2 linked regions of the Oryzias latipes genome follow. Each later gene encodes a partner of the first gene's protein in a complex. Links are inferred from orthologs where the notes say so. Each region holds a gene or a part of one and is shown on either strand. Other genes may lie near its edges.

Region 1 (3,565 bases):
TGGGTGTTTTTAACATGTTCTTGTTGGATTTTTTCTGGTGATGAAAGAGATATATTAAGAAAATTAAGCTCTAAACAGCATTTATAATTATTTCTTTATTCAAATTGTTGTGAATCAGGAGCAGACAAAAATAATACTGTTGGAACAAGAGCTTATTTGTAATGTAAAAAATATGCTGGGCGGGCCACAAACTCCCTGCTCCGCTTCATTCTGATGCATCCACCTGCAGACAAATAGATTCATGTATGTCTTTGTTGTCCCTCTCCGAGCTGGCATCTGGCTCTAATCTGTATGACTGGATAGCTCCAATACCTTTCACAAAGTCTGTTGCACCGCTAATGTTATTTTGGGGGTGTAAGGGGCTGTAAGCTAGCGAGAGTGCGTTTAAACAAAGAGCTCTCAGCAACAGGAAGGGAAAAGGGAACGACCTTGCTCCGCCCCAACTCAGGTGAATTCCTAATTAACAACTAGTGCAGAAAGTATGTTCTAGAAAACAAGTTTTTTGATATTGATTAAAAACTGCAGAATCGTAACTGGGAACGCTTTTACAATTGATCAACTGATTATCGGAGCGGATCTTTCATGAGGTTATTCTTGGTGGTTTTTCCTATGGGCAATGTATTATTTTATTTTTTTTGTAACGCGTTCCCAGTGGTCTTTTAATTATGATTATCGTTTTTAGCCACAAAAAAGGTGTTGTTTTTTAGAATTTAGTTTATGCAGAGTGGCAGCAGCTCACTATAAATTCACCTCTAAGTTGAGGGCAGGACTGTTGGCGCGGAAGAACTCGTCAACCTTTTCCCTCCCCGTTGCAGAGCGGTGTGGCCCTCTATGTCACAAATAAGACAATTTTGAAATGGCATTTAATTGTCTGCTCCTGATTCACAACAACTTTATGAAAGTAACACAGAAATGCAATTTTGAGCTTAATTGTCTTTACATACAGTACAGAACAAAGGTTTGGACACACCTTCTCATTCAAAGAGTTTTCTTTATTTTCATGACTGTGAAAATTGTAGATTCACACTGAAGGCATCAAAACTGTGAATTAACACATGTGGTATGATGTACATAACAGAAAAGTGTGAAACAACTGAAAATATGTCATATTGTGGGTTCTGCATAGGAGCCACCTATTGATTTTTCAGTTATTTAACACTTTTTTTGTTAAAAAACTTAAATGTAAGTTCTGATTGGAATTGGTGACATCTAAAATGCAGTATCTGAATCTGTAACATGTTTGAGGAATGGTGGGAAATGTTGCCTTTAAGGATTTTTTTGTTTATGTGAAGTTTGCACTTATCCTTCCACTCTGTCATTTTCTTTCATTATTGGCTATCGTCATCATCAGAAATGGTTGTAGAACATAAACAGTTGGGTGAAGCTCTGTCCTTTTGTGTCTGTTTCTCTCTGCAGTTTGCTGTCTGAAAACAAAGAGAGCAGACACTGCAGTCAGGACTCCATGGGCGAAGACTCGTTTGTCTCCAGCTCAGGAGTCGATCCTTTCTCAGAAAATGCCACCTTCAGCGATAGCGAGACCCAAGGTCTTACTGAGCCATTCCATCATCCTTTGGATCAACCCCCAAGTTATAACTTAGAGCCAGAACCAGCATCCCTGGATTTGCCTTCCTATGAAGAGCAACCTGTTGAGCACCAAATCTGCAATGGTGCTAATTCCGAAGCACACTTGTGCCCACTTGTGCTTTCCACACTCCATGAGGGTGAGGTGTTTGTAGAGGAAGAGGACGTGAAAAGTGAAGGAGGGAGCAACGAGCTTGTCCAGGACACAACGCAAAGCGATACCTTAGAGGAGTGCACCACCAAAACTCAAGAGCATCAAAGTTCTCTGCGCTCCAGTAGCATGGTCAGCAGGAAATCATCCTCAGAGTCACTCCCAGTGAGTAAAATGCATTTGCAGATATATGAAATAGGTTCAGTTTTGGTTCCTAACAGTTTGTGATTGTTCCACATGGTTAACAGGCAGAATGGAGTTTACCTCTCAGTTGCTGTTTGGGTTTTTCCGTAGAGAAAATTTCAAAGCTATTACTTGACTCTTTTTCTGTAGTGTCGATTTACTGTATGCGCCATATTTTTCGAACTTTGAGTCGCTCTGGAGTGTAAGTCGCAGCAGCCAAAAATGTCTCACATTTTCAGAGAAAAGTGCAATGCTTCTGAACAACTCTGCCAAGCTTCGCATAATGTTGTGTCTACACCAAATACGATTTACGTTCCAAATTTGCGTCCACTGCCTCTTTCTTCCAATTCTCAATGCTTGTCCAAAAATGTTCATTAACGAGACTCTCCTGTACGTGTAGGAGAAGCTACCATAAAGATTTAGGCTCATCGCGACATGGAAGCATCGACTGTATATCTCATTTAAAATGCATGGAAGACATGGATGATGTCCAGAGATCGGGCTTATTTTAGGGGTGAGCCGATATCTGCAACTGTGGCCGATAGCCGAAATTAGCAGATGCCAATGTTTTAGTGTCGACAATAGGGCTGCACGATATGAGGAAAACTCACGGTTTGCGATATTAGTGGTCAATATTGCGATGACGATATAACTTGCTATACTGTAAATGAACATATGGCAAAACAACTAAATACATCTGTTCCGTTTCACTGCAACAGTTTAATTTAAATAACAGTCAACATAACTTAAATTATACTCCAAATGACCCTCGTCTAAATAGGAGCCTAGCATCTAACATAAAAGGGATCTATCTGATTGGTTAATGATATAAAGGACTCCATCCTATTGGTCAAACGCATAAAAGGATTTATTTGATTTGTTAAATACTTCAAGCTGCCTTAAGATTGGTTTAGCACATTTAAGGTAACCGTTCATTTCAATTTTTGCCGACTTTTGCAATATGCATTTTGCACAGCGTGGTATTGCGATAACGATAAATTACCGATTTATTGTGCAGGCCTAGTCCACAATAACCCAAAGTTAAGATTTCCTGTTTGTTTTTTTTATTAGAAATACACATCTGCTTGTTTACTGTACCTTTACATTGTACCTGACGTTTTTAACGTACAGACAGGGATGTCAGCAAGTATCACTGTAAAACTTTGAAAATATATCTGAAACTTTCAGACCATTTACTGACTATTAGACATAAAGGTAAACCATAAGCTTCCCAATGCCAGGGATCTATTAGGGACAAGTATCCATTTCAAAATTAAAATACTTTTTTCTTTCACAGCTCTATAAAACAGTCAGAACAATATCTATTGAGTCAAATTGGGTCCATAAAGATTTGAAACCTAAATAAAAAAACTTGAAAAATTTAAGCTGCAATATTGGTGTTAAGCTAAAAAATAGTGTCTGAAACTTTCTGGAATTCTAATATAGACTTAATTATTTTCAACTTTTAATGTTATGTTTTCTAAGTCAACATAAATCATTTTCGGAATAAAAACAACAAGGCTCGTTTAAAACACCGGATAATTAAGCACATGAATTTATGTTTTTTTTTCTCAACAACAGAGAGCTTCCTCCGACTGAAAAAATAAAAGAACGTCGCAACACTATATTGTTGTTGTTGATACAGACAAT
Region 2 (3,578 bases), on another chromosome or scaffold:
GCCACCTCCGCTCCTGCACAGGTCAGTGACGTCAGCGCACAGGTTGACCTGCCCATGCCAGCGTCCAATTGGACACATTATCGGAACCGCGCGGGTCTCACCTGCAGCTTGGCGCGCTCCACCTCCCAGTGCGCGCGCTCCACCTCGAAGCGCGCCCACTCGTGCTGCAGGAAGTGCAGGATTCCTGGGACGCTGTACCGCGCGCGGGCCGCCTCTCCGCCGCTCACGGAGCCCAGATGCGGAGCCGAGCCCGAACCGCCGCCGCTCAGGAACACCCCGGGGCCCGCGTGCTCGTCCATCATGGCGGGACCACGGAGCCGCTGGTTCGGTCCGGTGGGTCAGCCGCGTCGCTCGAAAATCCTCCGCGGAGGAAAATCCATCCAGAACCGCGCGCGAGCTGTGGACCACGCAGTCCCGCAGCCTGTCAGACGGATGCTACGTCACAACCGCTTTGCACTGTCAAAATAAAATACCATCAATGAAATGAAAGGTTTCCAAACAATAACGCTCCCTAATGTTTTATTCGGTATTCTATGTCTCAAGTTTGTGTAAATAATTTATATTACTTATTTTTTGCTCTCAATAGCTTATAAATATAATATTTCAAAAGTTAAAAACAGTGTTTACTCGTATTCAGAACTGTATTTATTCTTGTATTGGTATGAATTTTATATTTTCAAAGACATCTGTTGGGGGGGGGGGGGTATTCTGACCCCTCCCCATAGACCAGTAGCAGAGTGGGGGTTTGAAGACTCAACAGGATGAAATGAACAAAATGAATAAATAAACTTGAGGAGGTATAAGGCTTCTATGTGGATGCAGTCTGTAAAATCTGTTTTTTAGACAAAATATTCCCAGAATGCAAAGACTAAACCTGTGAAGGTAAATAAAACTTTATAAACGTCACCAGCACCAGTTGACCCCCCCAACGCCATTCAGGTTCATTTGTACGCAAACCTCTGGAAGATATAGTCACAATGAGAAAGGATACTTTTATTTTGAAAGTACTAATAATAACATGTTTGGACTTTTCTTACCTGCGCCATGACGTCACTGACCCGCCAGCTGACTGTCTGCACTTTCCTGTCTTTGACTGATGGAAATCCAGATCATTCTGAGAGTTGAAACGAAGATCAACAACAATGAAAATTTCAAAGAACGGACTTCATTTAAACAGAACTGAACTCTGAGGATGAAGATGATGAAGAACAATTCTGTCTGTGATGTTTTTGTGAGAATATTTTGAATCATAAGTTTGGTTTAAAATTAAATCAGCAATTGTGTGTGGTTACATGTGTGTATTGTTGTATGCGTGTGTGTGTGTATGCGTGTGTGTGCGTGTGTGTGTGTGTGTGTGTAAATAAGGAGAGTAAAGCACGTGACCTTGTAGAGGTCATCCCAGCTTGGACCTGCGCGCACGTGACCTGGCTTTTCACTTTGATCACCTCACGTTCATAAAGGTCTCTCAAACAGTGAGGACCCCCCCACCTCCGGCTGATCAGAGACCCGTATTGACCACGCCCACCCCGTGGACACGCGGCAATCAGCTGATGTGTTCCAGCCGCCCGTATTTAAGCCCCACGCGGGCTCGTCCGCGCGCTGTCTCCGACCCGGCGCTCCATCATGCCTCCGCTGGAGAAGATCCCTCCGCAGAGCAAACCTTTCAAACAGAGGAAGAGCTTTGGTAAGGCCTCGCGCGTTCACGCACGCGCCACAGTTTGCCACTAACGTAACGCTCCGTTTGTGTCGTGCGCGCAGCCACGCGGAAACAAGAGGTGGCGGGAATTAAATCCAAATTTCCGAACAAGATCCCGGTAAGTAGGCGGCCGTCACGCGCAAAGGTGTTTGTTCGTTCCCACTCAATCAGCTGCTGCGCCCCCCCAGGTCATCATCGAGCGCTACGACAAGGAGAGGTTCCTGCCCCCCCTTGATAAGACTAAGTTTCTGGTGCCGCACGAGCTCACCATGACGCAGTTCGTCACCATCATCAGGTGAGTCTGTAGAGAGCGCGCCGTGCGTGCGCGCGTGCTCTAGGCTGTTTTAAAAGATCAATTATCTTTCTTCATAAATGGGTCAGCTTTGTTTGTTCCTGAAGGAGACACATCACGTGACACTGCAGGCACGCGCTCCTTAGAAACCTTTTAGAGGGGGTGGGGGTATCCAGAACCCAGATGAGCTGCTCAGTCTTCTTCATCCAAGTTCTGACTGCTGAGTCGGTTCTGAAAGTCTTCCGTTGTGTGGATCAGAACTTTGGGTTCAGTTCTTCTCTGAAAAGTTTTGGTGACAGATGTCCAGATCTTCCTCCTCTTCTTCTTCCTCCTCTTCCTCCTCCTCTTCTTCCTCCTGAGTTTCTGAAACCTGCAGACACTTCTGATCTGACTTCCAGCTGCCGTCTGTTTGCTCCTTCAGCCGCTGTAATCTGACACCAGATTATGGATTAGCAGATTAAAGTCCAAAGTCCGGTTCTGTCCTGCAGAGCCCTGAAAAACGAGGATCTGGGAAGTTCTGGGGTGGATCTGAAGAGCAGATTTCTGACCGTTTTGATCAAACTGCGGATCTGTTGGAGTTCCATCCAGAATTTGGGCTTCATGGAGGAAATCAGCTTTTCAGAATAAAATGTCTTCCTGTCCTCATTCAGCATCAGATGTGAGGAAATGACTGGTCAGCAGGTGGCGCTGTGGACCTGGAAGCTTTTTAATCTGTTTTCAGATGTCAACAGAATCCAGTATGCTGGAACAGCTGCACATTGACGCCCCTCCCTCTGCAGGAACCGGATGGCGCTGCTGCCCAGCCAGGCCTTCTACCTGCTCATCAACAGCAGCGGGCTGCCCAGCATGTCCCTCACCATGGCCCAGGTCTACAAGGACCACCAGGACGAGGACGGCTTCCTCTACATGACCTACGCCTCGCAGGAGATGTTCGGACGCTGACGCCGCCGCCGCACTTTTACGGACTTCCGCTGTGAATCTGCTGTAAATAGAAAATATTTTTATAAACTGACGTTTCTGTGGACTTTTAAAGATGAAGCAATAAATGTTGAGCAGTGAGGCGTCTGCAGGACTTTCCTTCACCTGAACAGACGGCGTCCGGTCTGCGCTGCGTTCAGGTCCGTCTGTAAATGTGAGGGTTGATGGAAAAGAACCGGCTGTGTTCCAGAATGTGGAGCTGAGGATGGAGCCGTGTTTGTTCAGATCATTTCCTGGATGAAGGAAGGTCTTTGATCGCTGCGACGGGTCGGGTCGGGTCGGAACTCTTCAGCCTCAAACGCGTTTCAGTTCCTGACAAAGTAATCGGAGTAAATGTCTAGCTCCAAGAAGAGGGGAACGGAGACCTCCAGCCCAGACAGAACACCCCCCCCCCCCCCCACACACACACCCGGGGGGGGGGGGGGGCTCTAGAACCTGGTCTGTGTTCTGAGTTTGACTGGATCAGCTGAGAGGTCCAGAACAGAAATGGTCATCAGAACCCCATCAGTGACTCCTCCTTAAACCCAAACCGGGTCACTGTGTCGGTAGAGTCCATCAGAACCAGCACCACTTCACTGGACTCTAACATCTGTCAGTGGATTTATCGCCGAG

The links. Proteins that work in one complex are often made in the same cells at the same time.
Region 2: the proteins of plekhm1 (region 1) and map1lc3c are in contact, whole or in part, in a crystal structure (PDB 5DPW), measured with the Homo sapiens proteins. The link is inferred for Oryzias latipes from reciprocal best matches to the Homo sapiens genes PLEKHM1 and MAP1LC3C. Residues at the interface, in NP_055613.1 of Homo sapiens: Glu632, Asp633, Glu634, Trp635, Val636, Asn637, Val638, Gln639, Tyr640; in NP_001004343.1 of Homo sapiens: Phe13, Arg16, Lys17, Glu25, Ile29, Phe33, Lys36, Pro38, Asp54, Lys55, Thr56, Lys57, Phe58, Leu59, Val60, Pro61, Glu63, Leu64, Ile72, Arg76, Phe114.

The regions. Positions count from the first base shown.
Region 1 is NC_019877.2:16,171,698-16,175,262, forward strand, and holds part of plekhm1 (pleckstrin homology domain-containing family M member 1), read left to right. Parts: intron 1-1,416; coding exon 1,417-1,897; intron 1,898-3,565. UniProt on the Homo sapiens protein: Acts as a multivalent adapter protein that regulates Rab7-dependent and HOPS complex-dependent fusion events in the endolysosomal system and couples autophagic and the endocytic trafficking pathways.
Region 2 is NC_019859.2:738,199-741,776, reverse strand, and holds map1lc3c (microtubule-associated proteins 1A/1B light chain 3C), read left to right. Parts: upstream 1-1,534; 5' UTR 1,535-1,623; coding exon 1,624-1,684; intron 1,685-1,758; coding exon 1,759-1,814; intron 1,815-1,884; coding exon 1,885-1,991; intron 1,992-2,767; coding exon 2,768-2,930; 3' UTR 2,931-3,047; downstream 3,048-3,578.